2 linked regions of the Arabidopsis thaliana genome follow. The protein of the gene in region 2 interacts with the protein of the main gene of each other region in a pairwise test. Each region holds a gene or a part of one and is shown on either strand. Other genes may lie near its edges. The genes, in order: AT5G38550 and GSTF6.

What was found.
Region 1: the proteins of GSTF6 (region 2) and AT5G38550 interact in a two-hybrid assay, tested with the Arabidopsis thaliana proteins (one large-scale study listed by BioGRID).

Annotation. Positions count from the first base shown.
Region 1 is NC_003076.8:15,428,683-15,442,700, reverse strand, and holds AT5G38550 (Mannose-binding lectin superfamily protein), read left to right. Parts: upstream 1-6,849; 5' UTR 6,850-6,960; intron 6,961-7,213; 5' UTR 7,214-7,279; coding exon 7,280-7,489; intron 7,490-7,885; coding exon 7,886-8,323; intron 8,324-8,408; coding exon 8,409-8,831; intron 8,832-8,923; coding exon 8,924-9,391; coding exon of another isoform or gene 9,392-9,418; exon of another isoform or gene 9,419-9,490; coding exon 9,491-9,736; 3' UTR 9,737-9,920; downstream 9,921-14,018. Other genes in the region: PERK8 (Protein kinase superfamily protein), read right to left, coding at 1-74, 166-313, 409-491, 575-645, 740-826, 906-1,319, 1,996-2,857; AT5G38540 (Mannose-binding lectin superfamily protein), read left to right, coding at 12,280-12,483.
Region 2 is NC_003070.9:657,505-669,730, forward strand, and holds GSTF6 (glutathione S-transferase 6), read right to left. Parts: upstream 4,972-12,226; 5' UTR 4,688-4,971; coding exon 4,538-4,687; intron 4,446-4,537; coding exon 4,397-4,445; intron 4,287-4,396; coding exon 3,859-4,286; 3' UTR 3,584-3,858; downstream 1-3,583. Other genes in the region: LPA1 (tetratricopeptide repeat (TPR)-containing protein), read right to left, coding at 352-621; GSTF7 (glutathione S-transferase 7), read right to left, coding at 1,382-1,812, 1,919-1,967, 2,052-2,201; GSTF5 (glutathione S-transferase (class phi) 5), read right to left, coding at 5,575-6,041, 6,111-6,159, 6,256-6,398, 6,513-6,626, 6,701-6,773; GSTF4 (glutathione S-transferase F4), read right to left, coding at 7,804-8,273, 8,358-8,406, 8,610-8,752, 8,847-8,952; AT1G02960 (kinetochore protein), read right to left, coding at 9,498-9,564, 9,647-9,777, 9,869-9,960, 10,037-10,137, 10,231-10,364, 10,453-10,578, 10,669-10,964, 11,109-11,241 and 5 more. UniProt on the Arabidopsis thaliana protein: Involved in camalexin biosynthesis by probably catalyzing the conjugation of GSH with indole-3-acetonitrile (IAN).

The sequences.
Region 1 (14,018 bases), on a different chromosome or scaffold from region 2:
TTTTTCCCTAGCCTCGGATCTACTAGCTCGTCGAATTCTTCGTTCTCGATTGCTTGACCCAGCAAGGGTCTTGCCTAATAAAAGTTATGTAACCAAAGGGGGTTAGAAGACACTTGTTGAATCATGGAAGTTCAAGAAATATGGTAAAACTAGAGCTGCACTTACCCATTCAACAAGGCTCTCATCACCAAGTGGTTGAGACGTATCTACGGGTTTACGGCCAGTTATAAGCTCCAACAGTATTACCCCATACGAATAAACATCTGCTTTTTCAGACAGCTTTCCACTTGTTGCATATTCAGGAGCCATGTACCTAAGAGAATTTGACAGTTAATATCGGTTAGTTCTTCTGTGAGTAGTTGATTTTCACACAAAGAACGTTCTAATAAATAGTGCATACACACACACCCAAAGGTTCCCATTACGCGCGTTGAGACGTGTGTGTTTAAATCCAGTTCTTGTGCAATTTTTGCAAGTCCAAAATCCGCAACCTGTGACAAAAAACTTGCTTAAGAGGTCAGCGTTGTGAAAGAAAGACCGTTTAATGACTAGAATAAAGCTCATATGATGTTACCAAGGCTTCAAAGCTGTTATCAAGAAGTATGTTGGAAGATTTTATGTCACGGTGAATAATGCGGGGATGACCTGCCAACGCAAAAAAAAAAAGCAGAGCATTAGAAGGTAACAAAATTATGAAAACTAAATATCATGGAAAAACAAAAAAGCATCAGTAACTTACAGTCTTCATGTAAGTAGGCGATTCCACGAGCTGCACCAGCAGCGACCCTTACCCGAGTTTCCCAAGTCATAACTGGTCTTCCTGGAGCTGCGCATACACATGCATTGAAGTTTATGTAGTTATAAAAGGATAAGTTTATGGTTTAAGAAGATGAGGCATTTGGTACCATGGAGATGATAATGGAGAGTGTTGTTAGGTACATAATCATATACAAGCAACCTATGTTGCTCTGAGATGCAATAACCAACTAGTGTAACCAAATGGCGGTGATGAACCCGAGAAATGATTTCAACTTCTGCTTTGAACTCTCTCTCCCCTTGGCTTCCACCAATCTTTAACTGTTTAACTGCCACTTCCCTTCCGTCAGAAAGAACGCCTTTGTATACACAGCCAAACCCTCCTTCACCGAGAAGATTCTTCTCGGAGAACCCACTGGTAACTTGAGATAACTCATCATATGAAAACCATGATCTTTGGTTGCTAACCATGCCTGAATCAGATGACGCATACATGTAATCGCTACCAGAATGGCTTCTCATTTTAGGAGGAGCTGAAGAACGCGAGTTGAAGAGCACTACATCTGTCAACACGAGTTTTCTGTTAATAAACAACTCAATACTGGGTAAACAAACAAGTAAGAATGTGTTGGTTCATGCATTGATGATTACCACGGAGACAATCTATACATTTGATCAGAACTAAAAGATTATTCTTTTCCTTTTTTATTTGTCGCACGTATCAAAAATAGCTGCTTCTCTAGTTACATATTTGGTCTCATATCCTAGACTGAAAGTATAACCACAGCATTGTACCGACAACACAGAGAAACACATAGTCAGAAGCTAACTACATTAAAAGGGGATGATCAGATTGATCAAGACATTAAGCAAAATCAAGCAGTCAAAACTCAGCGAGAGTGTCATGCTTCTTAAGCTTCTGAAACTAATCATACTACTCACAACACTCAATATATACTGTAAAGAGAAGACACAGAAACCACACTGGCAGAACCAAATGCAGATTGATCAAGACATTAACAATACACATTATCCAAAACTTAGTGAGTGTTCCATGCTCATTAAGTTACTAAAACTAACCATACTACTCAGTACACAGTTCTTTCAACAGTTCTCGAACCGTTAATGAACAAACCAACTAGGGTTTCTAACCGCACCCTAAATGCAAAAGGATCTTAGATTATCCAACTACAAAATGCCTTTACAGAACCTGAGATGTATTCTTCTATGTTATATTACCTGAGCCTTGAGGAGATGAATAAGCGGAAGGAGGCATTGTGTATCCAACAAAGGTTCCAGGGTCCTTTCGCTTTCGTTTCCGAGTGAACCACACACCCATCACAAAAAGGCTAAGAAAAACCAATCCCACAATCACTCCGATAGCTACAATACCTCCAGTACCAACTTCGCTTTTACCTGGTGAACTAGACGGCAAAGTGTTGTTTCCATTGTTTGAAGCTGGTCCAGTTGGTTTAGCAATTGGTTTCTCTCTGGGAACAACAGGTAATGGAGTTGGAGGAGGAGCTAACGTAGAAGGATCAGTAGGATTTGAAGACGGAGGAGAAGCAGAGGTAGCTGGAGGAGGAGGAGGAGATGTGGTTGTTGTTGGAGTTGGAGTTGACGGAGAAGGTTTAGGCGGTGAAGGTGTTTCTCCCGGTGGTGAAGGTGTTTCTCCCGGCGGTGAAGGAGAAGGTTTAGGAGGAGGATTTGTTGTTGTTGGTGCGGGAGGTGATGGAGAAGCATCAGGAGGCGGTGGAGGTGAGACAGTTTGCGGAGGAGCTGGTGGTGTTGTCGCCGGAGTTGAGGGAGGAGGGGAAGCAATCACCACAGGAGGTGGAGGGGAAGAAGCAACGGTGGGAGGAGGTGAAGTGATGACAGGAGGTGACGGTGGTGGAGAAGAAGACGGTGGAGGTGACGAAACAACCGGTGGTGGTGGTGATGATGATACAACCGGCGGCGGAGATTGCGGCGGAGAAGGAGGTGGTGTAACCGGAGGTGGAGCAGATGGAGTGGTGGGCTGAGTCTGTAACGGAGGAGGTGCAGTTGTTGAAGAATTTGACGACGGTGGTGATAAAATCGGTAAAGGAGGAACCAAACTCATTTCTATATCGAATACGAATCTGAAGCAGCAAACTTTCTTCTAACACAGTCGTTATCGATCCATTTAAACTCCAAAAATTGAAGCTTTGTGAACAAACAAACCCTAATTCCACAAATCGGATCAAAATCAACCTAAATTACGCAACCTGAAGTCAAACCTACTAAAATCAACCTAAATTCCCAAAATCTCCAATCACTAGCCCTAGAATTCCAAACCCAGATGGAAAAACTCGAGCTTTAAGCTCATATGCAGCTACACACGAAACTCAGAGCAGACCCAGATTAATAAACACTAGAAAGTTCCAAACTTTGAAGCTTTTTTCACTCGGAAGATTCGAAATTGGAGCAAGAATCGAGAAGGTAAGTGAGATTGAGAAATGGAGAAGGGAATGTGGTGAAAGGGAAGAGCGTGAGTCTTGTCTGAAGAAACGTGGAGGCAACTCTGTCTCTCTGGTCAGAGATATTTGACAGAGCGATTTACGCTTATGAGAGAGTCAGACATGTGCGGAAGAAAAAGAAGAACTTTTTCGAGTGTTGTTTCTTTTCTTATCATAGCATTGTTTCGTCTTTTTATTCATTGACTTGAGTTTCGTTTTCACAAATTATTCTCACATCATAACCACATAAAATGCCACGCGGTTTTTTTTTTTTTGTACGTTGTAAAATTCAAGAAAACTTTATTGCATAAAGGAGTTTTACTATTTTCACGAGGAATGATTTAAAAATGGAAAGTTAAAAAGTGGGTATGGGTGGAAAAGGAATAATAAAAGAGAGAAAAAAGTGTTTATGGTAATTTAGTAAATTAACAAGGAAAAATGTCTATGGTGTACATGTGCACTCTAATCATGGTTGATGTTTGAAAGTTTGTGCGCATGTTTGTTCCCTAAATTTGCTCTTTTTAATTATTGGATATTGGAGTGTTTTACTTGACTAATTACCGACGTGTACACGGTTATTAAGGTTTTAAAGTAGTGTGGGAGAACAACACTCTTGAGTTAAAAAGAAGATTAAAATGTTCAAGATTAGGCTGCAAGCAAATTAAATGCACATGCGTAGTTCGCATACGAGTAATTTAGTGGAATCCTGTAATTAGTGATAGTGTCTTATGACCATAGATACTCGGTTTAGCTTAGGTTCCAATTGGTTTTCTTTTTTTGGTCATATTTTTTTTCTTTTCCTATTGATGTTAAGTAATGTGAATGTTCGAGTTTGTATCTTGTACGATCTTATCGCTATTGAATATCTTGTGAAGTAGAGTTTTCACTCATTCGTAGGTCACTGAGATTAACTCACAAAAAAATTGGTGTAGCAGAGATGTTGATATGTTTTGGAAAGAATCTAAGTGCCTAGATCCTTGCTAAATAGGATTTTATCTCAAAGCATATATTCTATGTTTTATGGATGAATTAAACTTGCATATATACTTGACACGAGGTGATTGGCTCATATCATGGCTATTAAGGTTTTGAAGTAGTGTGGGAGGACACACTGAGTTTCAAAGATGATTAAAGTGTTCAAGATTAGACTTCAAGCAAATGCACATGCTTAGTTTGGATATAGAATATGGGCTTACGTATCTATAGATGGGCTTAAGTTGGGTTTCATGTGACGGTCTCATGTATGGATATATATATATGAGGCATGTTTGCCCTAATGTGAATCAGAGAGTTTTCCCTATCGTTTTCCTCGTTTATAATTGCATTTTTCATCGTTACTATTCGTTAAATATTTTAATTTTTTTAATTAAAATATCTTTGCAGTTATGTCTTCTTACAAAGTGTCTTTTCTCCATATTTATTTGTATTTTCCTTATCACAATTATTTCTTTCTAAAAATTAAATATTTTACAAATATTTGTGTCAATTTAATTGTTTATATCTTCTGAACTCTATATACTTTGTTTACCAAATATTCAATCTTCTGACAATTGTTTTTTTAAAGATGATTGATGGTCCAAGATTAAACCCGACCCGGACAGTGAACCCGACTACCTTCTCGATTATTGGGTCATCGGGTTAACCAGGTTGGACCATAAGTCAATTAATTAAAATTTATTTAATAAATTTAATATTAATAAGATTTTAGAGTTCTTATAAATTAAAAAATAAAAATAATCATGTTTATAAAATATAAAATCAGATTATGTTTAATAAAATATAAAATCATTTATACCAAAAAATAATAATAAAAAAAATAAATAATATATATATATATAATCAAACAATAATAATAAAGTGATTAAATTTTTTAAATCCAACTAAACGTCTAATACCATAACAAATATAGTAGTAGATCACCAATGACGGAAATAAACTAGTAAAACATCGTGAATTTACACAACTAATATCGGGTGTCTCACTCACCATTCGTTTCATTTTTAAGGCGGCATTGTAAAGTCTTCGTCAAAATGTAAACCATAAAATGAGTTTACGAACTGAAAAGATTTCTAAAAATGATTGAATAAAGTCTAAAATCTCATATTATATTCCAAAATAAAGAGAATATTTTAAAACCCACACCCGACCGGTTCACCGGATCATAGGTTAATAGTGAGTTTTTGTGGGTTTTTTTGATTTTGAACTTGTCGGGTTTTAGCACTAAACCTAAATCAGAAAAATGTTTGGGTCACGGTTCAACCGGTCGGACCGAGTGTGAAAACACTGACCACTGGGTTTTTCTATTTAAAAATAAGTTGAGAGTTTTAAAATGGATAAGTCTAAACTTGAGGGTTTTTTCATTAAAATTTATTTTTCTAAAATAACAACAACAATTTATAATATTCATCATTTTGAGTTTGATTTATTGTTTGAGAAATATTGTATAAACAAATTTAAAATATTTTTCTTCATGAAATCGCGAGAAAAGATATGTTTGAGTTTTATTAATAATAAAAATAATCAGATCATGTTTAACAAAATATAAAGTCTAACAATAATAAGAAAGTGATTAAAATTTATAAATCTAACTAAAACACGGTAAAAAAATACTAAGATAGTAGGATAGTGAATACGAAGAACTTAAAAAAGTTTTGAAATAATTCAATAATGAACAGTGAATACACTAAAACTCTATCTTTTTGTCCAAAATCAAATATATATATTTTTAAACGAATACCCGACCAGTTTACCAGATCACAAGTTAGTGCCAAATTTTTGTGGATTTTTGCGCTTTTTAAATTGTCGGATATTAACAGTAAACTCAAACCCGATAAATATCTGTAACACTGGTTAACCAGTAGGATTGGACGTGCAGATTTTTTTTTTCTTTTTTTGAATGAATGACCAATGCTGAAGCTTTACGGTTTGGTTGCAAACCAGAGTTGCAGTCCATCTCTCATGGAGGTTGAACCCATTTGAAGATATATATAGAAGCCGATTCCGAACTGTCCGGTCAATCACTTGAATTATTACCGATGCAGAGATGGGAAGCTCACCATGTCTTCTTCGATTTCTTTCCGTCCAAATTGAATGGACTGTCGCTTTAAATATACGTAGCGTAAAATGAATTGATGCGTCTTCGAGAACTGAGAAGTGGAGACAATACTTAGCAAAGCAGAGTAATCCAAAGTAAAATCTTGCATGAGAATTCGCTTGGCAAGATGTTCCCAGATTTGAGCCGAGAATGTGCAGCTGAAAAACAAATGATCCCTTGTCTCAAATGGAACTTGACAAAACACACATGTTGGATTGAGATTCGATGACCAAGAGCACATTTGATCACATGTCACGTTGAAGTTGGTTTTATGTTTCTAAAAATAATGCCAAACAATAAATGCTCGAAACTGAAGTCCACCTACAAGTTTTACGAGTAGGTTTGTCATATCATAAAAAACAAAATCTACGCTGTCGATGAGATGCAATCATGCAAGGTCGTTTTAAAATAATCGTTTGTTTGTGGAAGACGTACTTTAGGTAGTCTTTGAATAATTATTTCACAACTAGTTTATATTTTCACAAATTTAATATTTAATCTTGCAACCAGCAGCCTCATATATAACAATATAAATATACATTTTAGAAAAATGGCCAAAACTTGTATATATGAAAAAAGCCAAGTCCATCGCTAAACTTACTGATCAGCATAGCAGTCTGTTCATCTTCAGAGGTCAGCTCTTTTCTCTTTCCCTCATAAGCATGCTTACTTCTTATTCGCACCAATGTTTTAACCTTAAATAAGATCTTATCGAAATCTATTATTTATGTGAACGTAATGAGCATAGTTTTAGATATCCTCTTACAGTAGTTCCGTTTCTGCAATTGGTGATCTTAAATATTGTGTTGGTTCTTCGCTTGACAATATGTTTTGTTTTTTTAATATTCCCAATTTAATTAAGGAACACATGTGGATATTGATGCAGATTATTGTACTAGGAAACACAAGAACCACTTCATATCCAGCTGAATATTGATAACATCAGTTCAAGATGATCCAAAAGTTGGGAGCGAAAGGAATCAAGTCAGATGAACGTAATCAGCGGGAGTGGGATGATGGATCTGAACATGATGATGTAACAAAGATATACGTACGAGGTGGTCGTGAAGGAATAAGATCCATTTATTTCAACTATGTGAAGAATGGAAAACCCAAAGATGGATCAATCCATGGTTACTTTGACTCTGGTTTCACACAAACGGTATGTTCTGGAACATATACGGTATTCTAAAAATCGGCGGCTACCTATGCGTCTACAAGGCCAAATCACATAAACATTTTGATATTATATTGGCAATATCCGTCAAAAGAAAAGTCAATGTTATTTTGATGTAGATCTGATAAGGCTGCCGATTAATTTAGTTTTTTTTTTTTTAATTTTCTATTTGCTTTTTAATTCATTTTTAAAAGGGAAAATTATCCTTTAACGGTAAAATGTAAGTAGTAAAAGTTTACTCTAAGTTCTTTTAAAGTCTATAATTAGCAATTCTCGTTCATCGTCTAGAAAATCAACATATTCCTTAACTCATTTTATATTGAGGTGAAGTTGATATATAATGCTGACTTTGTGGTATTTGTATTTTCACTAATTATGCAGTTTGAGATTAACCATCTACGAGGTGAATATCTTGAATCTGTTGACGCTTACTACGACAAAAAGTCCTACGGTATGCAAGCAATTCAATTCAAAACTAACTTCAGGACTTCTGAACTGATGGGGTATAGTTATGAGTGTACTATGTTTACGCTAGCCGTCCAAGGAAAGAAGATCATTGGATTTCATGGATCTAATTATGTACATATATTATCTCTTGGAGCTTACTTCATTTCCATTGCTCCTACGAGATTGGAAGTGAAAGGTAGTAAGGGAAGCAAGAAGTGGGACGATGGATTTGACCATGAAAATGTATCAAAGATCGAGGTACTAGGTGGTTTTGAAGGCATACTGTACATCAAAGTTGACTATATCAAGAATGGAAAACTAGAAACTGGATTAGTCCATGGTCACTCTGGTGGTGATGGTTTTTTACAGAAGGTATGTAGCTATTAATTATAACTATAGGTTCATTTATTTGAGTATATTATTAAATCTTGTAGTAAACGTTTAATCAAATTTTTAGATGGAGATTAACCAGTCAAAGAACGAATATCTAGTATATGTTGAAGGTTACTACGATGATGCTTCTGAAACCATTCAAGGGCTTCATTTCCAAACTAACCTCAACAATCCTGTTATGATGGGGTATAAAAAGGGCAGGAAGTTTTTACTTGCATCCAATGGAAATAAGATCATTGGGTTTCATGGATATGCCGACAAAAGCCTAAACTCTCTTGGAGCATATTTCAGTACGACCACTCCTAATAAACTGGAATGCCAAGGTGATCGTAAAGGACTGCCTTGGGATGATGGTTGTAATTATGACGGCGTAAAAAAGGTGTATGTCGATAGTATAAGTGATATAGATAGTGTCAGGTTTGAGTACGATAATGGCGGAAAAGTGGAAAAGACTCCGTACCGGCGTGATGTTACAAATGAGAAGGAGGTCATGATTCTTTAAATCTAGTAACGTAAAATTTCATTGATACTATATATTGGTTCTTTAGGCGCTTATACGAAGTTGTTTTCTGATTGCAGTTTGTGCTTGACTATCCAAATGAGTTTATCACGTCTGTGGAGGGGACCTTAGCAACTCCGACTAATTTTGACATTACGTGGATTCTCTCACTGACATTCAAAACATCAAAAGGGAGAACCTCTCCAACATTTGGATCATCGTCTCCTGGTAGAAAATTTGTGCTGGAGAAGAATGGTAGCGCTCTTGTTGGGTTCCATGGATATATTGGTCCTGGTTATAATATTAAAGCTCTTGGAGCATATTATCGCCCGATTCCTCCTACTCCTGATGTGAAAAGACTAGAAGCACAAGGTGGTGATGGAGGAGCTTCTTGGGATGATGGTGGTACTTTCAACAGTGTTAGAAAGATCTACATTGGACTAGGCAAAAACGTTGTAGGCTTTGTCAAGTTTTTGTACTACAAAAACGCTCGTGTTGTCATCGGAGATGATCATGGCAACAAGACCCTTTCATCTGATCTCCTAGAGGTCACTGATTCAATTTCCATAATTTAAAGTTCTAGATTTCTATCGTACTTGGTCAACTTATTATCATTCTCGATGTATTTTTTTTTTCTTGTTTTGCAGTTCTTGTTGGATCCGTTTGAACATATCATATCAGTGGAGGGTACTTATGATGATACATCTGGAGGTATAACCATGCTTAGGTTCGAGACCAACTTACAAAAATCTCCATACTTTGGATTTGGTACAACATCAAACTTCTTGCTTCACAAGGATAATCACCAGATCGTTGGATTCCATGGAAAATCCAGTAACATGCTTCATCAACTTGGGGTCCACGTTATACCCAACGGTTTTAAATTTATTTAATAACGTTCTCTTACTTTTTCTTTTAATAAGTCATGTTTTAATGACATCACATCTTCAACTATCACAATATAATTTTCTTCTCCTAACATTTAAGCTCTGATACTTCTCAGCAAGTGTTGATTTTCTTACCCAAAATGCAAAAACACATTGTCCCAAATTCGTCTTACGGTTTGGTTCCATAATTTACATTTATGAGCTAAATCTATATACACACATACATGTAGAAATTTTGGCAATGCGTGTTATACATAGAGCTGTCAATTGGGCAGGACGTCCATGGGCTTGCCCAGTCCAAATGCATATGGGCGGCCTATATTCCGGACTAAAAAAAAATGGTCTAATTGGGCATATTACCAGTTTTGTCCATGGACAATATGGGCTTGACCGTATGAACAATGGGCTGCCCATGGGCATGAATTGAGTCAATAGACATGTCTTCATTTTAATCATATTTTTATAATTTTAATTACAATTACAACTAAATAATTTTCAAATTATATATTTTACATTATAAGTTTCTATTTTTATGAAAATTTTAAATTTTAATAAATTATTTCTTATTAAATTATTTACGGTTTTGAAGGAAAAATAGTATTCCACAATTTTTTGGAATACGCAAATTTTCGATTACGGTTTTGACGGGAAAAATACAATTCTCCGATTTTATAATTTTGACGGAAAAACGCAATTCTCTAATTTTACGGTTTTCACGGAAAAACGCAATTCTCTAATTTTACGGTTTTGGCGGGAAAACGCAATTCCATAATTTTTCCGCCAAAATCGTGATTTTATTGTATTGGTAAGAAAAACACAATTTTACCGTTTTGTCGGAAAAATGCAAGTCTCCGATTTTTACAATTTTTGCGGAAAAATACAATTTTTGAATTTTTCTTTAAAATCATGATTTTTGATTTATCAATAATAACAATAATAAAATGGGCTGATCATTATGGACATGGTCTTTATTGGGCATGGACATTTTCAGACCATTGTCCATTATGGACCGTCCAACTTGGCCCATAAAAAAAACTGTCTGTACGGACACGCCCAATGATCTTTGGACGGACCATTTGACAGCTCTATTTATACAGTAAAAAGTAATTTTCGTACGTTTCTACTTAGAAAATTTAGTGTTACTGTTTTAATATAATTCCAAACATTGTTTTTTTCCATATTTGGAAGCATCTTCTACTTTTTAGACCACATCAACCAACTGCATTTCAGAATACTGATAACAAGTGGTTAGATTGATAGAAAAAAACAAAAATAAAAAAAAACAATTGCAAGATTGCTCATTTAATTTTTCAATCTTGGCGATGGCAATTTCTCACATAATAATAAACAAATAAAGTAATAAACTATAAAGAGTTGGAAAAAAAAAGCAATGTATAATCCATTTCTATTTTATTAATCCGGCAGGCGTAAATTATTGTCTCGCCCCATGACATAACCGATCAACAAAGACTAGGAGGTAATGGTCCATGAGATATACTTTATAAAATATGAGTATATGACTCTGATTTGGTCTAAAATTGCATGATAAAAAATAATTATATTTTTGTTGGCAAAAATCAAAATTGTTATTGCGTATATTTAAAAAAGCTATAGAAGTTTTAATATACTTTTTAGTCTTATTTTTTTTAAACTTTTATTGTGTAATATATTGTTAATGTTTCTAATTAAAATTATTAAGAAAAATTCTCGCAATAAAGCGTAAAAAACAAAAAAAATCGCAATGTTTTTTTTATATATATACAAGATAGAATATATAACTTTTTTGATTTTAGTAAAAAAAATTTGTAAAATAAAAAGTTAAATGTTTTTTAATATAGAAACGACCCCTGTTTTAATTGGAGTCTAGGTCTAAAAAATCTATTCTATTATGTCGATAGAAAAATGTTCGGGTTGAAATATTACTTTTGTTTGTTAAGTTTTACGAGTAGGTTTGTCATCATAAAAAACAAAGTCTACGCTGTCGATGAGATGCAATCATGCAAGGTCGTCTTAAATAATCGTTTGTTTGTGGAAGACGTACTTTTGGTCGTCTTTGAATAATTATTTAACAATTAGTTTATATTTTCACAAATTTAATATTTAATCTTGCAACCAGCAGCCTCATATATAATAATATCAATATCCATTTTTGAAAAATGACCAAAACTTGTATATATGAAAAACACAAGTCCATCGCTAAACTTACGGAAGTCTGTTCATCTTCAGAGGTCAGCCCTTTTCTCTCTCTCCCATAAGCATGCTTACTCTTTATTCGCACTAATGTTTTAACTTTAACCTTAAGTGAGATCTTATCAAATCTATCACTGTAAACGTAATGAGCTATATATTTAAAGTTGTAGAAATTTAAATATCCCTTTATGTTAACTAATCCATGGTAGTATAATCAATTGGTTTTTCTTCCTTCTAGTTTAGATATTGTGTTGGTTCTTCCCAACTTAAGGAACACATGCATGTGGTACTGATGCAGATTACTGAATAGGAAAAACAATACACCTTCATACCCAGCTGAAGATTGATATTAGTTCAAGATGATCATAAAGTTGGGAGCGAAAGGAATCAAGTTAGATGAACGTCGTCTGTGGGATGATGGTTCTGACCATGATGACGTAACAAAGATATACGTAAAAGGGGGTCCCCAAGGCATAGGATCCTTTTATTTCAACTATGTGAAGAGTGGAAATCCAAAAGATGGATCAATCCATGGTTTCTTTAACTATGGTTTCACACAAACGGTATGTCTACGCGGCCAAAATCACATAGAAATTTTAATATTCGCAAATACCCAAAAGAAAAGTTTTAGTTTTTGCTATTTTTATTTGCTTTTAATTTACTTTTAAAATAGGGTAAACTATTCTTAAAGGTAAAAAAATGTATGGTTAACATTTATACGAATTTTATATATAATAGAAAATTCAAGGGCTAGATCCTTTCCAGCTCCGGATTGAACAATACTAATTTAGACTCATTTAGTGCATGATTGGTTGGGCTTTAAGTCTGACTTACAACCTTATTTTTTTTTAAAGCGTTGATTACAAACCAATCGTGTTATACCTTTATTTTTAAACTTACAGTCCAAATTTTTTTTATTTTTTTTTTAAGGCTGTAGTAGAGTAATTTCTCAAAGCCCTATTTTCTTGGCTGTAGAAATTTTAATTCATTAGATAAATACAAAAAATTAAATTATCAACATAAATATATAACAAAATTAATCTATGGAATATGTAAAATTTAGATTTATTTTATTAAGAATTCATAGGATTTTTTTTATTTTTATATCAGCATAATATATATATTTAAATTAGTAATACAAGGGATTTTATTTACTATAAAAATAAACTCTTATTACAATTATTATATTTATTAATCCATTTTTTATAAATATTTAAAGTTCAAAACTTACAGCAATAATTTTACAGCAATAACAGTTACAGCTACAACCAACACAGCTACAGCAAAATCTCTACAGCAAAAATTCTAGAGTTACAGCCCAACCAATCACCCATTTAAGTCCATATTAGAAATTTACGTTCATCTCTTAGAAGATCAATATAAGTAAAACCTCTATAAATTAATAATGTCGGGACTCGGAACCAAAATATTAATAAATATTAATTTATAGAGATATTTACTTTAAGTTTTTTTTTAAAATTTAAGAAAAATGTTAATTGAGAGAATTGGATACACATAAAATTAATAATTTTGATATCTTATATTTGTGTAGTATTGTATTTGAAAATTTAATATTTCAAAAAACTCCTTTGAGAATGAATCCCAAAGACTATAGTTGAATTCATTTAGATAATTTATATATGTATAAATTTATCAACTATCGTATTTTTAAAGTCTATAAAACTATTAAAATGAAACTGATGCATATTAAGCATTTCGAAACTAATAAAAAAATTATGACTACTTTTTATTACGATTATTATAAACATAACGTAACAATTGTTTGATACACAAACCCTAACAAAAATTCAATGTTTAACATACCATAAACCATATATTATATATTATTTTATATATATATATATATATATATATATATATGATTATTAATTTATGTGTTATTAGGACCATATTTTTATATAAGATTTTTGAAAAGTATTATTATTTTATCGAGTTTTGTTAATATTCACAGTGGTACAACATGATTTGTTAATTTATTGTGTATATTAATTTATAGAGTATTGATTAATAGAGGTTTACTCTATTCCCTAACTTATTTAATTTGAGGTGATGTTGATATATAATGCTGACTCTGTGG
Region 2 (12,226 bases):
TCCAACATGACAAATCAACTAAATCTGTTCCAAGCAAAGACTCTTTTGCTAGCTCCAAGTGTCAACATTATAACTAGTACAAGCGTATGCAGAGAATTGCTAATTTTGTTTCCAAGTTTCAAACATTAAGATCAAGAAACTAGCAACGATCAGACAAAAAGTATCCCTTTTAAAATTACTAGCGACTGGAAAGTAACTAAATTTTAGGGCTTACCCATTATACATAATCATACAAGCGTCGCAATAGAAGACAGGAGCAGCCAAAAAGAGTAAGACATAGAAAACCCAAAACCGACTGAAACATATTCACCTACGACCACAAAACCATTCGAATCGAACTCTAGTACTTACCCGTCCTCTCTTAAAGAGATCAAGACCAGTATTGACGCACAACTCTGCCGTGAGATCATCCGTCGGTGAATTTGGAGACGGAGGCGACGACGACGGAGAAGAAGAAGAGGAAGCGTAAACAAACAGATGGGAATCCCAATTCCGGCGAGAATTGAAAAGGGTCGCGTCTCCTGGTGGCAGCCATGGCCTTCGTTGCTTAACTCTCGAGTAAAGGTTCGAGATGCGGCGGGGGAAATGGCGGTTTAGCGACGGAGCTGTAGCCACAGCCATTCAATTTTCTTCTACGCTTACGGAAAAAAAACAAAACTTTTATCCGCTTTTTATTTCCTCTGTTTTATTTCGGAAATAATATTTAACTTCCAACTTCTTTGAATATTATCTAGAAACTTATATTTGGTACGAATTAGACCCAAAGAAAAAAACATTGTTGACTTTGTCACACAATGACACAAGGTTTGGAATCGATTAGGAAAACGAAGAAGATTAGTGATTTGATGAGTAGCATAACTAAGCTGGAGTTGGTGTTAAGATTAGTGATTGATGAGTAGCAGACCTAACTTGGAGTTAGTGTTGTGATATTTTAATAACTGAATGTGATTCTGTCTAACTATGAAGTTTAATATTCTAATTAAATTGCAAAGCATTAAAAGTCAACAGTCAATTTCTTCCTTACAATGGCAAAAATGAAGTCTCAAGTCAGCTTTCAAAAATTAGAATAATTAAGTCAACTTTCAAGAATGAGATCAACACTAATTTTCTTTTCTTTTTTTTGGTCATAAGAGATCAACACTACTTATTAGTAGCTAAACTTTAGGCTACCAAATATATTTTTATTATATATCAAGACTCATTATTATTGAAGATTACATTCAAACCAAAAAAAAAAAACAGAGGAGACACACACAAAAAAATCACAGAGTGTATGAGAATTTGGCAATTAGGTCATCGCCACTTTTATTGTTTATGAGAATTAGGGCAATGAGGTCATCGCCACTTTATTCAATCTTCTGATTAACAGTTTGTGAGTCACTTAAAGAACCTTCTTAGCAGAAGGCCTAGAAGTGATGTCAGCAACCCAAGCACTGACATGTGGACGCTCGTCAAAGAGTTTCTTAGTTGGTGTACCAAGCAAGTACTGAATCACAGGGATAGTGTGAAGATCGACCAAAGTGAATTTATCAGAAGCCAAATACTTGGACTCACCAAGCCTGTGTTCGTAAACATCGAGGACCTTGGCTAGCTTAGCCTCTTCTTCTTCAACAACGGTTTTGTCTGTGGTCATACCATACAAAGGCTTTAAGACTTGCTCCCAAACAAGCTTTGAACCAACTGGGTCAAACTCATGCGATTCAATTTCAATGCCCATGGCTATGCCCGCAATGTCCTTGGAGCCAAGGGAGACAAGTTGGTTTCCTTTGTCTGAGTAAAAATGAGCTATGTATTGAGTGATTGCTCTTGATTCTGCCAACAAAACATTAAAAAAGTTGAGTGTTTCTGCTTTCTTTAATTGCAATTGTCAAAAACAGAATTTGAGATTAGGTCTAAATTTAAGTGTTTTGCTGCTTACCGAAAAGCTTGAAGTCTCCATCTTCAAAGGCTGGAACTTTACCAAAAGGCTGCAAAACAACATTCAAGATTTTTCAGACTAAAGGTTCAGTATCTAAATGAAACAATATTTTGTTTTGACAAATATTACTCACGTTGCGGAAGATGAAAGGCTCTTTCTTGTGTTCACCATCTTTGAGCTCGATATGAACGAATTCAAAGTCGAGATTCTTCTCGTGAAGAGCGATGAGAACTCTTCTAGTGGCTGTGGAAGCTGGGTGACCGAAAACTTTGATTCCTGCCATTTGTTAAGACTTTGTTCTTAAAGCAAGGTGGAGATTTATTGAAGTAGAGAGATCTTTGTGGTTGATGAAAAGAAATACACAAATGGGAGAGTGTATTTATACAACTAAATTAGAGTAACTTAGTGAATAAACAAAAAACAAACGGCGCCACCAAGCTTGAATACTCTTTGTTATTTCATAGTCAAGCTGAGTAACGTATGATTCGTCGTTTCTATTGGTTCAAGATTTTCATATACTGTTCATATAACTTATAAAACAATATAATCGGAGAAAATATCAACCATGGCTGGATAAGACAACAAGAATAGTCTTTTAATGTATACTAGTCAAAGTTGACCGACGTTGTTGAAAACATATGGATCGTTGGATGTTCAAATTGGATCATTGAATCAAGGAGATGAGGCAATGTGAAGTTATTATTAGTCAAGAAGCTATTCTTTTTGAATCGTTCTTCGTAATAAATCTATCTAGAACCTTCTCTAGCTTCGCCTTGCTTGCATTCACAACCTTATAGTCCGTCTTTAGATTTAATGGATTATACCCATGTAAGTATTGATGCGAGTGGATCGAACTCATAAGTTTCAATATCCATTCACAATGTTTGTGTTCCCATTGTTTTGTAGCTTTCGTAATTCACAAGTTATGAGCCTTTTGATCTATGGACAGACGAGATGTATTCAGATATAGCTCGAGACTCTGAGCAAGACTAGACATATCAAAATTTTCCCGAAATCAAACTCAAAAATGTTTATCAGATCAATAGTTGCATGAGTAAGGTCAAGAGGCTAAAAACCCTAATAAGATATAACAAATATAAGCAACTGATCGTTACGTAATAATATACCCTCGTTATAACAAGTTTACTAGGTCGTCGATGACTAATCGCTAAATTAGTAAACAAAAATAGTTCAAAATAGGTCTACTTCAGTAAAGAGTTTAGAGATTAAAAGACGATCGTTCGAGCAGAAAAGACCAGTTAAATGGAAACCCTAGTTAAGACTTACATTCCGTGAATACAAGTAATCTACCTAGGAAATGAGAATCCTAATTCCGGCGAGAATTGAAAAGGGTCTCCGTCTCCTGGTAATAACCATTTCCGTCGTTTCTTCGCACTCGAGTAAACAGAGGTTTTGCGACAGCTATGCAATTTATTTATATGCTTTCCTAAGAAAACCCTAATTTTATCTTAAACACGCTTCCTTTTGTTCCTCTGTTTTATTTCGGAAACTAATTAACTTTCAACTTTTTTGATCTAGGAACCTTTTTTGGTGACAGTTACGCTCAAACAAATATGAATAACATTGTTGACTTTGAAGCTTGCCATCACCACAGAAGGTTTGGAATCGATTAGGGAAAGGAAGAAGATTAGTGATTGATGAGTAGCAGAGCGACCTAATTTGGAAGTCAACGTTCAAGACTTAGGAGAATGATAGTCAACTTTGAAGAATGAGATCAACATTAATTGGTAGTTAAACTTTAAGATAAGAAATATTTTATTATATCAAGACTCATTATCGAAGATTACATTCAAATCAAACACTCGGCAGCAGAAAAACAGAGTAAACACAAAAAGAAAAACAGAGTTTATGAGAATTGGGCAATTAGGTCATCGCCACTTTTATTACATCTTCTGATCGATAAATAGTTTGAGATTCACTTAAAGAACCTTCTGAGCAGAAGGCCTTGAAGTGATGTCAGCAACCCAAGCACTCACATGTGGACGCTCGTCGAAGAGTTTCTTAGTTGGAGTTCCAAGTAAGTATTGAATCACAGGGATAGTGTGAAGATCGACCAAAGTGAAGTGGTCAGAAGCCAAATACTTGGACTCACCAAGCCTGTGTTCGTAAACATCGAGGACTTTGGCTAGCTTAGCCTCTTCTTCTTCAACAACGGTTTTGTCTGTGGTCATACCATACAAAGGCTTTAAGACTTGCTCCCAAACAAGCTTTGAACCAACTGGGTCAAACTCATGCGACTCAATTTCAATGCCCATGGCTATGATCGCCATGTCCTTGCCAGTTGAGAGAAGGTTGTTTCCTTTGTCTGAGAATTCATGAGCTATGTATTGAGTAATTGCTCTTGATTCTGCCCACCAAAAAAAAAACATTTTTGAGTGTTTCTGCTTTCTATTATTGCAATGATCATAAAACCAAAAATTTGTAAACATGACTATAATGATATATATTTGTATTTACCGAAAATCTTGAAGTCTCCATCTTCAAAGGCTGGAACTTTACCAAAGGGCTGCAAAAACAATATTCAAGATTGTTAAGACCAAGATTCAGTATCTAGATGAAATATAATATTTTGTCTTGACAGATGTTTTATGTACTCACGTTGCGAAGGATGAAAGGCTCTTTCTTGTGTTCACCATCTTTGAGCTCGACATGAACGAATTCAAAGTCGACATTCTTCTCGTGAAGAGCGATGAGAACTCTTCTAGTGGCTGTGGAAGCTGGGTGACCGAAAACTTTGATTCCTGCCATTTGTTAATACTGTGTTTTTCTTGTTCTTAAAGTAAGGTGGAGATTTATTGAAGTAGAGAGATCTTTGTGATTGATGAAAAGAAATACACAAATGGGAGTGTGTATTTATACAACTAAAACAGAGTAACTTTAGTGAATAAACCAAAAACAAACGGCGCCACCAAGCTTGAATACTCTTTTTTATTTTGTTTTTTGGATAAAATTCTTGGAATGCTCTTTTGTTATAGGATTATTTCAAAGTCAAGCTGAGTAATGTATGATTCGTCGTTTCTATTGGTTCAAGACTTAAATATAACGTAAAAAATAGTTAAAATAAAATAAAAATAAGAGAAAATATCAGCCACCGCGTGACAACGACCACAAGAATAGTCCTTCATCTACTAGTCAAACTCTGACCGACGTTGTTGGGTCCACGTGGATCGTTAGATGCTCGAGTTAGATCGTTGGATGCTCGAGTTAGATCATTCGATAGAACGAGAGATAATAAGAAACAAAACAATATCAAAAGAAAAGAAAATTTGGTTTCACACTTTTGACAATCTGGTACAATTACAAATTTGGGGTCAATAAAGTATTTAATCATATTGAAGTAACTAACTAAATTTAGCATAATTATGGAGAAATACATTACTAAATCCTAACTATAATTTCGTATAGAAACATTCAAAGGAACAGAGTAATTTTCACATTTTCCACATCCACAAAAATGCTCATTATAAACAACTTTGACATTTAATCTTGTGACATGTATATTGAAGTATATATTATTCTTTGGAATTTTGAAATCATTATGGCAAAAAAAAGAGTGATTTTTGCAAAAGCTTTGCCTTTTATTCATAACATCAAACTTAAAGAAATCACCGAAAGTACATCACAAGATTATAAGATTAATTCTTCTTCTTATGGTACCAAGCCTTCACATCACATGCCCTCTTCCAAGCCGGTCTAGCTGTGATCTCAGCCACCCACCGGCGCACGCTTGGCCGGTTTACAAACATTCTCTTTGTATGTGTGTCCATAAGGTATTGTATATTAGGAAGGTGATAAAGATCAGCCATTGTGAAGCTGTTACTAGCCAAGAAGCTAGAATTTTTGAGTCGTTCTTCGTATATATCTAGAACCTTCTCTAGCTTCGCCTCGGTTTCATTCACAACCTTATAGTCCGTCTTTAGACCGTACATAGGCTTGATGGATTGTTCCCAGGTCAGTGTTGATGTGAGTGGATCAAACTCAAAAGATTCGATAGCCATCCACATTCTTTGTGTTCCCATTGTTTTGTAGCTTTTGTAATTCAGAAGTTGTGTGCCTCTTGATTTATGGACAGTCGCTATGTATTCAGATATAGCTCGAGATTCTGACGAAAACAAATTATATCAAAATTCATTAGATCATTAATTAGTTGAAAATGTAGTTTTAAACTCACCAGTCAACTTAAGACCCCCGTCTAGGAAAACTGGGACTTGACCAAATGGCTGCATCAATAAGAAGAGACCAATAAAATGGAAACCCTAGTTAAGACCTAACCATTAATCATGAAGCAGAGTTAGATATTTAGATGTGAAAAGTACATTGATAGCGAGAAAACTCGGCTTCTTCTGGTCACCGGCTATCAAGTTGACGGTGATGGGATCGTAAGAGAGACCTTTCTCATGAAGAACGGCGAGGACACGCCTTGTGTTGGTTGAGTAAGGGTACCCATAAATCTTGTACTCTGCAATTTTACATATTTCATCATGTAATACGATGAAGAAGGAGGAGAATTAAGAAACCCATCAAAACTTCTTTATTCCATCCCATTAATTAGTATATAAATGAGTATGATTACCATCTTTACGAGCTAATTCTTGACACCATTTAAAGCATTGGCGACTACTCTCGAACGTCTGGTTACAATGATGGTAGCAAGTTTCCGGTACATGGCTCGCGTTTATGCCCATCCCTACAACGCAATTATGAATATTCAAAACCATAGCACAAGAAGAAAAGCAAACAAAAAAAATTCAAGATAATTACATTTGAGTGGTTCATAAGAAATGGACAGCATAACCATGAGAGTAAACAAAACCAATAATATGGAGGAACCCATTTTTTCTACTCTCTCTACTCTCTATAGTACACTCATAGAGGATAGAGCATATAAAGATGTATTTATAATTAGATAAGGTGAATCCATAACCATTATTATTTACTTTATTTCCTTTTCAAAATTTGTTAATTAATAAGTTGGATTTTTTACATGAAATTGTAGATTTCTTTCCTTTTACAGTTTTTTGTTCTTATATGAACTTTTTGCACTAGCTTATACAATTTAGCCAATCTAATTAGGTAGGATATAGCGTTGAACCAAAAAATAAAATAAAAAAATTGAGGTATAGATTTAATAGCTTATCTAATTGAGGTATATAAAGTTTAACTGTTTTTCACTCAAGTAAATTTAACACTAAGACTAAATTATATTGTTTTTTGCAAATATTTTTATTATGTAAACTATTTTTTTTATATACAAAATATTTTCGTTTGCAAGGTTTTTAAGTAAATAAAATAATTTTTTTACCTTTTAAATTTTCGGATTTAAAATTTTCAAATATATTTTTATTGATTTAACTAATTTAGTACTAGGAATACCCAAATATTCAATGAAACTGGATTTTATTATTTTCAGTTTTATTATTATTATTTGAATTGAAAATAATTGAAATATTATCAAAACCAATCCAATATGTTCAGGCACCACATCCGAGGCTGTGTGAATATAGCTTGTTTTAAAATTCCCTCCTTCTATTTGGTTACTCCAGAAGATATTGGTAGTTTTGGAGTAATGCAACTTAACATAACAAGAATGCATGAGTGTAGTGATCTATAAATTCAAAATTGGCATCGAATTATTTATATCTGCTTTTCGCATTTTCATAATCGTAGAATCTTATCTGAATTTATCTAATTAGTTTAAATAATGCTTTTTTTGTTCTTTATTTATTTACATGAAACATATATTAACCAAACATAAAATAAGATTCGCAAGGCAACAAACAACACGCACAAGCTTACAAACAAAGACCCAAACTCAACATACACATACACACACATTCACACGTAAAGATTACTTCTGCTTTCAGTTAGTTCCTTGGCTTATTAAACCAAGATTTCTCTTGATCACATGCCATTTTCCAAGCCTCTCTACTCGTAATCTCATCCACCCACTTACGCACTTTAGATCTTTTTTCGAACAATTTCTTCGTTGGAGTTCCCAAAAGGTATTGTATGTTTGGTAGGTGATGAAGATCAACCAAAGTAAAGCTATTACAAGCCAAGAATCTAGATTCTTCGAGTCGTTTCTCGTAGATATTTAGAACTTTCTCTAGAATAGCCTCGTTCTCTTTGACGATTGTTTGGTCAGTCTCTAGACCGTAGATAGGCTTAATGACTTGTTCCCAAGTGAGTTTCGATGCGGGTGGATCAAACTGATGAGCTTCGATTTCCATCCACATTGTTAGAGTTGCCATTGTCTCGTGACTTCTAAGATTCAGAAGCTGTGTGCCTCTTGAGCTATGAACATATGCGATGTATTGTGTGATGGCTCGGGATTCTAGAGGGGGAAAAGTTGATTAGAGATATAAGTATAACAAATGTTTATCATGTTGTTGTTATTAGTGTGTAAGATTAAACTCACCATACAGCTTAACACTTCCATCCTCAAAAACAGGGACTTGACCAAATGGCTGCATCAATAACACATTGTTAAAACTCGAAATCCTTGGGTGACAAGTAACCAAGACAAGCCCTAGGTGAGTATCAAAACCTAACCATATATAACAAATTTTTGTATATGTAGATGATTCGGCACAAAGTCAATCTATAATTAGGTGTGTAATATCTCATCCTGAAATTACTAATCATTCGATTTTGCGATATCATTCCTTACGTTGAGAGAGAGGAAAGGTTCGGTTTTGTGTTCACCGGTTTGCAATTTGACGGTAATAGGCTCGTAAGAGAGTCTTTTCTCATGGAGAACAGCGAGGACACGCCTTGTGTTGGTGGAGAAAGGATCGCCATGAACCTTGTAACCTGCAACTTTGAATCATAGAACAAATTTCACTGAAATCAAAATTATCTTAATTTTTGTTTGTTTGTTATAAACCTATATATTAATTAATCTTACCGAGCTTTTTAACTTCTGCCTCACGTTTCCAGTTTGGAAATAACTTGAACACCATCTGTAAGCAGTCCATATATACGATATAGATACACTTGTTTAATTTCTGCATGTATCCTCCATAAACCCTATTATATATACCAACTTAGTTATATGCTTTTTCTTTGCAATACAAAAGCTGAGGAACATTTTGTTTTTCCTTGACATCCACGTAAAGAGTCCACCTTTCTTGTGTATTGAGAGATGAATTGTTCCAATGATACAATGTAAACTAGGGATCTACCGTTTTATTTCATTATTTATCCTTTCTGGTTCTTTTATTATCCTTTTTGTTCCATTATTTTAAGTGCTAATTAATAAACAAGACGAATACTATGATTATGCTTTACTTTGAGGTTTACCAAAGCACACGACAGGAATCAAACCAACAAACAGTTCATGTATAAATAACTAAAACGAGTTGAATCATTTGTGAGAACTGATTAACGCCTTTAATCAGTAGTAAACCCAAAGAAGAAAACACGATAAATCAAAAAACACTTTAAGCTCTGATCAGTATGATTGTTATCAATCAGAGAGCTTTAATTATCGTTTTTATACACACTGATAAAATCATTTGCAAGTTTTTTCCACATCTTGACATTTGTGTGAGTTATATTACAAACTTGAGAAATATGAAGACAAAATAATCACATCATTGGTTTTCTGCACTTCCAACTCCTTCCTGTTGAAAATTGAAAAGCTAAATATCACAAAAGAGTTTAGTGACATGGGATAAGAGTCTAAAGAGTGGAATCAAAACTGACCATGGCGCATATACTCGGATAAAGTTCCCTATTTCGATATCAACATCCGCACAAACTTTCGGACTAAAAATAATTGTTGTTTCTGTTTCTTTTGCCGCAAGAGCTTGTGTGTTCTTGAGTAATAGGGAGTCCTACAAAATCGAATGTGACTAAATCAATTGCTTAAGGGTCTAATTAAAGGAGCAGGTTTATCAGATGCGTCAAAGAGATGGAGAGATAAACCCCAGAGAGGTCAATGACAGAGCATTTGCAGACGACAAGCTTTCCCTCCAAGTGTCTTGACATGACTTTAACATCAACATAGCCCGATGAATCTGAGTTGGGAAATTGGAACGAGTAACAGAGGTATGAACTAGATTTTGTTTATATGGGAGTTACAAAAAGAGTTACCTGCTTCTCCGATTCCGCTTTGCAATTTCCTCATGATTTCCATTTCCGTCTCTTTTTCTTGTTTCATGATCTGTTGCAGCTTGCCATACAGGCTAGAGCCACTGCAAATTGATGCAACCAAAAATGGGTTTTCATGTTAACTGATGTGTGATTTTAAGAGTGTGGTGCATAAAAGATGTTGAGAGTTTGATTACCCAGATAATTTAGGTGAACCGAACAAGAGACCTTCTTTGCTCAAAGAGGAAGCTTTTATTGCTTCATCAAACCGGTCCCCAACAAATTGTTTCTTCTGGTTGGAAATGTTTGGCACTGAGCTTTGATAACTAGGCTATGTCACAGAACAATATAATTTGAATTTGACTGTAAACTGAGGAGAAGGAGATTACCCAAATCACAAGAAAGGAAAAGAATAAAACCTCATCATCGCTTGATGATCCACTATCCATAGGTCCAGGAAGTTCATCATCAGTATCACTATCTTGGAAGTTAGATGAATTTCCCTTATGAGTAAATTTCCGACTTTTTGCTTCATGTCTGCTGTCCTGGAGCAGAAAGGAGGCCAAACGAATGAAACAGATGTCTGAGAGCAAAGCAGCAAATCAAATGCTAATCCACTGTATAATCAATAATACCAGTTCAGAGCTTCTTTTTATCAGTCTAATTTTATCTAGAGGAATTTCTTGAAGCTTGGGTACCGCATCTTTAGTGCACTCGTGCAAAACTTCTCTCGACTCAGCAACAGAAACACCCTGCCTGTTTTCTGATCTTTCATCAAAACTGTTGGGGCATTCAATAATTGGATCCTCTTCTATAGCCTGATCCTCCACATCAGGCTCAAAGATTTCAGCCATGTCACTTATCTTGGATGACGTTTCTCCATGAGTATGTGAGTTAAATGAAAATTTTGGCCTCCCATGATCTTTGAGACCTGCATATACATTAGAAACCCAACTCAGAGATTTCAGAAAATCGTGCATACATGATCTGTTTCTTTGAGTTTTCATACGTGGTGCAACGTTCTTTAACTTGTACGGTAAAAAAATACCAAGAAGAGTTTTGGATAAAACAGTACCATTACTACTTTTCTTGGCTCTGAAGCCAGATAGATGGGATGATGCGACTGAAGCAACACCATTCAAATGGATTAGTGACTTGGTTTCTTTACTTATAGCAGACCAAGTTGCCACTTGTTCATCATGTGTAATCTGAAGGCAACAACAATCACCATTCAAAACATAAGTAGAGGATACTGTCACCAATTTGAAGAACTTATCAAGATGCATGAGTGAAATGGACTCCAAGATTAGAAGGTAACCTCATCATCTGACCCATTTTCCTGAGCAGATATGCATGCTAATCCAGTTCTTCTGGAAGAAGAAATATAACTCTCCTCGGGGGAGTCAGGAACTTCGACCACATCTTCAAGAGAGGATGATATCTTCCGTAGCTAAAAAGGAAATTTCTCTCATCACCATTTGATTCCAATATTCCTCCAAAAAAGAAGCTGCACAAAAGAATTTGCAACGAAAAAGACTCACAGTTGCTTCCAGAGTTACATCACCGGTTTCCCTAGCATAATTTAGCTCACCACAACCTGGAAACAACACAGAAGCTCTTTGTGAAACTTGACTGAAGTTAAATAGTCGTAGAAAAGGCTTGACCGCAAAATGGATATATTATATGTACCTATGAGTTTTTCGAGCTTTGTTTGAAGTAGTAATCCTCTCTACAATATTGAAGCCAACTATGGTCAAACCACAATCAAATTCCCTATAGCTCCTCAAAAAAAACTACTCAAGCCAACAACAATCAATTCGGCAAATCAGAAGTTGCCAAGTTCTTTCTCAAAGACAACTTCTCAGGAGTTCACAGAGAGCTTTATGCAAGCTTAACGAATCGAAAGTTGAGATTAAACATTACCTCTTGTTCCTTCGCATTCTCCTTCGGCGAAATATCATTTTCTTCTTCTTCCTCTAAAAGACCAAACAACAGCTTGAGAATCACTCGATAGACAATGAAACACAAAGATCTAAAATCGAAATTTCAGATGAAGAAAAAGAAGCAATCATCAGTCCTCACCAGATATGCTCTGATCGGAATCTGGATTCCCCTGATGATAATCCAACAAGAAAAAAGCAAAACAGAAAATCAAATCAATGTCCTGGAAAGAGAAAAAAGCAAACAATTCTC